Linked DNA regions of Struthio camelus. The protein of the gene in region 2 purifies or fractionates together with the protein of the main gene of each other region. This does not show direct contact. Links are inferred from orthologs where the notes say so. Each region holds a gene or a part of one and is shown on either strand. Other genes may lie near its edges.

What was found.
Region 1: the proteins of NFX1 (region 2) and LARP1 purify together in Homo sapiens (affinity purification with mass spectrometry, with the first as the bait; 3 studies listed by BioGRID). This does not show direct contact. The link is inferred for Struthio camelus from reciprocal best matches to the Homo sapiens genes NFX1 and LARP1.

What each region holds. Positions count from the first base shown.
Region 1 is NC_090954.1:12,071,385-12,075,286, forward strand, and holds the start of LARP1 (la-related protein 1), read right to left. Parts: upstream 2,578-3,902; 5' UTR 2,563-2,577; coding exon 2,205-2,562; intron 917-2,204; exon of another isoform or gene 822-916; intron 1-821. UniProt on the Homo sapiens protein: RNA-binding protein that regulates the translation of specific target mRNA species downstream of the mTORC1 complex, in function of growth signals and nutrient availability.
Region 2 is NC_090943.1:78,972,093-78,975,994, forward strand, and holds the start of NFX1 (transcriptional repressor NF-X1), read right to left. Parts: upstream 2,370-3,902; 5' UTR 2,300-2,369; coding exon 2,275-2,299; intron 1-2,274. UniProt on the Homo sapiens protein: Binds to the X-box motif of MHC class II genes and represses their expression. May play an important role in regulating the duration of an inflammatory response by limiting the period in which MHC class II molecules are induced by interferon-gamma.

The DNA.
Region 1 (3,902 bases), on a different chromosome or scaffold from region 2:
TAACGAAACAGGCAGCAAAAGAAACAAAGCCCCCAGCGCAAGAGAGCCAAGCAGCAGCGTCTAGGGCAGCAGTGTATGAACCAGACATTGCTGCCAAGCATCACAAACGCACCACTAATCAATTCCATTATTTAAACACCTTCGGGAATACTGGGACACTTCTGTCAAGCCCAACAGAATTCTAGGTGTTGCGAGATTATTTCCTTACCTCACCGTAAGGCACACATGCTCCCCTTAAAAATCGCCTCCTAAGTCGCAAAGACCCCCTCCTCTTCAACTCAGCGTTTGACAGAGCTCCTACCGTTCATTCAGCCTCTATCGCCGCGTTCTCCCAGCTTTGCAAGGGGCCTGGTAACAGAATGCTGTCCTCTATGAGCTTTAAACATGAGCGTTAAAGCCTCAAATAGGAACATACAAGACAGAAAGGTAGAAAGGGACACAGAGAGCACATCTGTATTTACCTAATGTTAAATAGAAATATGTAATTTTAACAGTGAGAAACAAAAAAGATACTGTAACTCAGTAGATGTTGTAGATGTAGATGAGACACGCCATGATGACGTATGGAATAAACAGAACCGGAAAGACACCAGCCCTCAACTCCTCAGCATCCTGTATTATACAGCATTTTTGAACCTTTTGGTTTATTTCTAGGGAACGTTACTCCAGAAAGCAGCGTGATGCAGCCTCACTTTTGCGTAAAGGAGTAACGTCACCGGCTTTATGTCACGCACCAAGAGGCAAACGTAAACAGCAAACTGCTCTAGGTTTTGTTAAGTTATGCTTACATCATTGCATACGATGACAGACCAAAAACCTACCTGAACAGACTTTCACTTGGCACAATTAACGTATCCTCTATTTTCCCCATGTAAGATGACAGCTTTCCAGGTGGAAATCACAGAGCTGTCCATCTTCCAAAAACCAGTACCTCCAATGAATCATCATGTTAGTCTCAGTTCTTGCAAAACGCTAGCACATACAGTAACGAGAAATCTGACGTCATATCTGGCAGTGTTATTTCGTGTTTACAGAGGCTGACTGGAAAAATTAAGAGTCTTTCCCAAACAAGATGTTCACCGAAAACTTCCGTGTTTTCCTCTCGCACCCATGTGGAGTGAGTCGGTGCTAGGCAATCCCTCTCGGTAAAAATGACATCTACTCAACTAACAAGGAAATGGTGTTCTGCAAATTCAGCCTCCGCTTAAAACAGCGGCGGACTACAAACGCACCGTTTGTCCCGTACCGCTTTGACTCGCTCCCGCTGAACGCTGCCCGAAGCGGCCCAGCGCCGCGAGGAAGGCCCCGATACCATGACAGCGCCGCAGCGGGCACTGCTACAGAGCAGCTTTTAAGCCGCCCTGCAGCGCTCACGCCAGCCGGCGCGGAAGGGCAGAGCCGCGGCCACCCCCGGCCCACCCGCGGCCATGAATCGGCAGAGAAAGGCGCCGCCGCGGCCTAGGCGCGGCCGCGGGGGGGAGGGGGGGGGCGCACACGTGGGCAGGGCGCCGAGCACATGGGCGCCGCGGGCCGGGCCGAGCCGAGCCGGGCCGGGCCCCGCCGCCGCCTCCCGGGGCGGGGAGCGCAGCAGGGAGGCCCCGCCGCGCACTCGGGGGAAATCACATGCTCGCAGCGAGCCGGGGAAGCAACCACGTTGCCTGCGCTGCGGCGGAATGCTGGGAAGGGGAGGCCGCCGCCGCCGCCGCGGCGCGCGCGCGCACAGACACAGACACACACGCGCTCACGCGCGCGCGCACACGCGCCGGCGCTCGGAACGTTCGGAACGCGGCCGGGCCGCTGGCGCCGCGGCCCCGTAACGTTCGCCGCGGCGCCGCCGAGCCCTCAGCTCCCTCCCGCCCCCCCCCGGCCCCGCCGCCCCTGCCCCCGGCCTCGGAGCCGCATGGCCACTGCCCGGGCCGCGCCGCGCTCCCCTCCCCCTCGCCCACGCTCCGCGCGCCTCATGGCTACGGCAGGCTCCAACGCTTCCTACTTCCCGGGAGCGGCGCTCCCCCCACCCCGCACGCACACACGCCGGCCACCGGGCTGACACGCGGGGCGCCCCCCGCCCCGGCGCCGCGGGCCGCGCCGTCCCCACGCCGTGCCGCATGGCGCGGGCGGGCGGCCGGGGCGGGGTGGGGTCGGCGGCGCAGCTCCCCCCCCCTTCCTCCTCCTCTCCCCCCCCCCCCGGCGGCCGCGGCACCCACCTGGAGGCGACTGCCCGTTCACCGTCAGCACGGCCGCGGGGGCGTTCTTCGTCCACGGGTTCACCTTGGGCGGCGGGGCCTCGATGAACTCCCGGCGCCCCGCGCCGCCCGGCTCGCCGCCCTCCTCCGCCTCGGCGCCGCCGCCCGCCCGCAGCAGGCTCTCCTTCTCCTGGTTGTTGCTCTCCTCCTTCTGCTGCTTGGCGCTGGGCGGCCGCGGCGCCGCGGGGCCGCCGTCGGGGCCCATGGGCGGCTCGCCCTTCTCCCGGCCGCCGTCCTGCGGCGGCTTCAGCACCAGGGCGCGCTCCTCGGCGGGCAGCAGCGGGGCGCCGGGCAGCAGCGCCTCCACCTGCGTCGCCATCTGCGCGCCCCCGCCCCGCCGGGGAACTCCCCTCGCTCACGGCGCCCCCCGAGCCGCGCCGCCGCCCGCCCTCCCCCCCCCCGTGCCGCCGAGGCAGCCGCAGCAATATGGAGACGCGCGGGGACCACGCGACTGCCGCGGGGGCGCGCGCCGCCCCGGCCCGGCCCGCCCCGGCCCGCGCGCACGCGCGCGCGCGCCACCGGCGAGCGGAGGGAAAGGGAAGGGAGCGGAGGGGCGGGGAGGGGCGGGGCGCGCCCCCGCCCGCCGCCCGACCGGCCGGCCGCGCGCACGTGCCTGATGCAACGCCCGGCGGCGCGGGGGGCGCTTAAAGGGGCCGCGCCGCGGTGGCGCGGAGGTGGCCCGGCCCGGCCCACTCCGCGCACTGCCGCTTCCTGCCCCCCTTCCCCTTCCCCCCCCCGGGCTCCGTCCCGGCTGCCCGGCGCAGACGGCCGGGCCCTGCTTGCTGCCCGCCGGCGGCGGCTCCCGGGGGGGCGCCGAGGGCACCCGCCGCGGCTCGGCCCTGCCCGTGCCGGGGGGGGCAGACGCCCAGAGCCTCTGCAAGAAAATAGGGGAATGTGAACTACCGGGGCATGTAAGGCCTCTTGTTGTATGACTAATAAATGGGGTGAAAGCAAACGCCGTCGGTTCCCGTCGGAGGCGTCGCAGGAATAAAGGTTGTACGCCAGCATTAAATGGTCACGATGTGGTAGACAGCGAAGAAATAGGTACAGCAGTTTGGGTCGGCTCAGATTGAAATAATTCCCCCCAATGGTTGCGCCACAGTTGTGTTATGAGTTTATTCTAGGCTACCAGCAGCAGATTTGGCAATGAATAATGATCTCTCTAATGTTACTAGAAACACAACTGGGAATTTTGTTGTTAGGCAGTTGCAGCTGCCCAGCTGTAGACCGGAGAGCGAACGCTGCCGCTTGCGGTAAGGCTCGGATACTTCTGAATGCGATAGCTGACAAGTTGCTTCATCCTGAACCAAGAAAAGGGCGTGATCTCTCAGGTTTGGTTTTGTCCAACCTTCTCTTCACCTGCGGAGTCACAAAAAATAACGTTGGATCGGATGACTGCGGATTGTTTCAACTTCAGTGGAAGGTTGGCGAGAGGAAGTTTGAAACGATGGCCCTCGGTTCAGGAGGGCAAATGTGGAGGAATTAAAGTAGCTGGCTAGCAAAGTTAGCTGGTGGGAGATGGGTCATAGGATGAGTCCATCGCATGGTCAGAAAACATGAAAAAGACAAGGGTGAGTCTAGGATGCATCAGAGAAGCTCTACCCCATTACAGAGAGCGCTGATGAACCTTCCTCCGGAGCAGTGTGTATAATTGTGGTT
Region 2 (3,902 bases):
ATAACAAACAGAACCATCATCATGTTACTGTCCAAATCCAGCACACCTATAATGTGAATAAAGCATGAAGTTTTGGCAAGCCCATTTCAAGAGGACATCAGAGAAATATGAGGTATGGATAAGAAATACAGATTCACCAGAAGTAGCTTCATCAGCTGGACATGAAGTACCTACTACAGAATGGATTTTGCATAAGGAAACTAAATGTAACACGCATCTTCCTTTTCCTGCTCATCCTTGCAGTAGGGCGGTCAGTGCTTTACAGCAGCTCCCCGATACCTTCATGCATCATGCCCAATGCTGCATTGCATGCGAAACACAGAACCCAGTTACTAACAGCACTGTGGAGGAAAAAAACCATAACCACATTCAGAAGCAACAACAACTGACAGAAGAAAGGTCAACTCGCAGCTGTTAAATGCAAATATAGCCTCTCACTTGGGGTGTCCCCTCTAAATGTACCAGGCTGGAAAGGTATACCTAGGTGAATAATAATTCTGTAATTGCCGTATTTCTCTTATTCTTCTCTTGGGTATCAATAGCTATTACACTATTAGCAAAATATCCTGGACAAGCTGTACATCTGCAATGGTCCAAAACAGCCATTCTTAGATCTCAACCGCTTCCCCTTACCTATTCTGTGACCAGAAATATCTTTCATGCTGAGGCTCTCAAAATCATAAACCCGCTCTGTCCATGAATTTGAAGGGCAAAAGCTAGTCCCAACCCTAACATAGCACAAGCACAGATTCAAACTTACCTAAGAGACAGGCCTGCATAACATTTTATTTTATATACTACCATAACAAGGAGTAAATTCCATAATTTAATGCCATGTGGTGATACTTGTGCTAGCTTGTGCGTTATAAAGCAAGATGTAGCAAGGGTGTACTAACCAGACTAATTTTTCAGTAAAGCTCTGTTTACCTATTTAAGGCTCTTTCTACCAGTGCCTGTGCACTGCATAAAAGGCTTCAGGATCGGAGCTGACTCACAGCCTGACAGCATGGAAGATAAACAGACAAAGCAGACAGCTGCCTGCACCAGCTCCTCTTTACTGAAACTATCAGTCTTTTCTCTGATCGACGTCCCAGGCTATTCCACTTCCCCCAAGAAAGCTACGGTCCCATTCTTGTCCTACCAAAAATGACCTCCAATGACTTTCACTTTTTCATAGCCTGGCTGCTAAGATCAAAGAAGAGACAGGGGAGTCTATACAGGACACAGCTTAATGATATCCTTAAGCTGAATTAACTTCACAATGCTGCCCAAAGCAGAGCTGCATCTCGCCTTCTCCTCCCCCCACCGCAAAAGTCCAGAACTCTTTCTGCAAGAAACCTAATAGCCATACCAACAACGAAATGAATCAGCCCAGCGAGTGAATGCAAAGTGACACTGATTATCTGAGAAGTCCACCTGGACTGCAAGAAAAACCAGGAGATATGATGAAAACACTAAACATCATGAGTCACTTCAGGCAACCATGTCACTTCCAGTTACACACCCAAGACATAACCGCACAAGGGTTCTTCGTGCCCGTAACGCACGAGAAGTCATGAGATGTGAGGCTGGAACCTCCCGCTCTGCAGCTGCACCCAGTAAAACGAAGGTCACCCCCACCCTAAGGAACCAGCAAGCAAAACCAAAAAAACCTCCTTTGCCCCGCCTGCGGTGCTCAGTGGCACCCCGGGCTGGACACCTCGGCCCCTCCTCACCCTCCAGCCCTCGACCGCATCCGCTCTGGGCAGGCGGCACCCGCTCTGCCGGTGCCCTGCGCGCCACGGAGGGCACCGCCGAGCCGCCGGGCAGCAGCCACCGCGACTGTCGCTCCCGGGCGCCAGCGCCGCAGGCAGCGCAGTTACACAGGAGCCCGCGGCCGTGGGGCGGGTCACCCCACCGCCGGGCGAGCTGCGCCGCCGGGGCGGGGGGGGACGGGACGGAGAGGGAGGCGGCAGTGAGTTCTCCAGACCGGCGGAGCCTCGGTATTTTCCGGCGTTCCCGCCTGCGCGTTACACGCTACAAACGCGCACGTTTCTCTCAGCCCGAGTTTCCCGGGCGCACGCCGCGCCTCAGCCGCTTGGCGCCCCAGCGGCCCCGCAGAGCCGCGGCCGGCCGGGGCCGGGGCGCCGCTAACAGGTGGTGCCGCGCGCAGCCCCGGCGCCCCCCACCACCCCGCGGCTCGGCCCCTCGCCCCACCGCATCGCAGCGGGGCGCAGGGGAGCGGCCCCACCGGCCGCTTCGCCGGCTGCCCCCGAGCAGCGCGGGCGCGCTCACCTGCGCTGGGCCGCGCCTCCGCCATGCCGACGCGTCCCGCCTGCCCCCACCCCTCGGCCCGCTTCCTCCTCCGCCGCCGCCGCCGCCGCCGCCGCGCATGCGCACGCCGGCCGCGCCAGCTCCCGCCCCGGCTGGGAGCCGCTCTGCGCGCGCAGCCGGCGGGAAGGGCGGAGGGGGCGGGCGGGGGCGCGAGGCGCGGCCCGTTGGGGCGGGGCCTCTGGGGCGGGGCCGCTGGGGCGGGGCCGCGGGCGCTGAGCGCGGCGGGCAGCGAGAACCTGGTCGGAAAGGGCGAGGGAAGGAGGGAGGGAAAGCGAGAGCCACGAACATGTACCAGCGTTGGCGGTAAATTGGCCATTTGCTTGGCAGTAAACTTGCCCGCTGCGGCCTTCTCCTGAAATGGGCTCGCTGTCCTAGCTGCCCGGCCAAGCCCTCTGTGGGGGTGGAGGTACCACTCATCTGTGGGTCTTGTTGCACTTTCTCTGGGCATGCGGGAGAAAGTAGGAGCCTAGTACCTGGGTATCTCTAGCATCCTGTATGCTGTGCTTTGGGAGGTGGTGAGCTACACACTTTTCATCCCAGGACTGCGCTGCAACTGAAACTTCTTTTGGAAAGCCTACACGAGGGTTTCCGTACTACAGCCAGCTCTGCCATGAAATCTTGCCGTGCTGCAGCTACAAATACCGTGAAGAACCGCACGCCTTGTCACGCTGCAGCTCCCAGCACCGGTGCTGAACTGTTGTGTGATTCACACCTCTCTGCAGAGGTTTGCACTGCCATGGTTACGGTACCTCTACAGAGCAGCACGCTGCAGTGTGGCTCCAGAGCCCTTACCGAGCTGCTCCTCTGTTGAGATGCTGCAGCATGAGTTCCCAGTACCATGGCAACTGCACCTCCGACGAAGGACACCTCTGAGGAGGAGCACCGCTGCACCGACTCTGTGTTCTGCCAGGTGCACCCACAGAATGACGTTCTCGGGCCAAAGTCCCGTTTGCTGCATAGTTCCCCTTCTAGCAGATAAAGTTCAGGGCTCCAAAAAAGGGCAGAGCAGAGCAGAGCAGGTCCATCAACAGTTAAGCCAGGCAAGCCTGTAGTGACATGGTAGCTCAAGCCAGAAAGTCATGTTAGTGGGAGAGGATCAGGGACGGTACAGACAGGCATACCTGCAGCATAGCTCAGGCAGACACCAAGGGCTAGAGCCTGAGTTTTAAAGCAGCTTGGGAGAGAAAGAGGGGCAAGCACTCACTGAAGCTTTTCAAGACCAGAAAGTTGCATACAAAAATTGGCTGTAAGCCCTGGCAGACAAACACGATGGTGGTGAGAGGAGGAGGGGGTAGGGGAGAGATGCACTCAGGGTCTTGACAGCCACAGATCTCTCCTCTGTGCAGCAGGATGCTGGGAAACAGCCTTGCCTTCAAGAGAGAGGGAACATGAGGTCGGAAAAAAAAGGGAGGTAACCCCTAGCCATAACCCTAAGTGCCAGAATGCTAAGGAAGATGAGTATCTGCTAATGCAAACATATCTGCTAATGAAACACATTCATTCCAGAGCTGGCATTATGGTACAGTCGTTTTGAATTAAGGAACAGTCAGCCCATAGTGGGGTCAGTGACTACTGCCCCAGAGATGCCT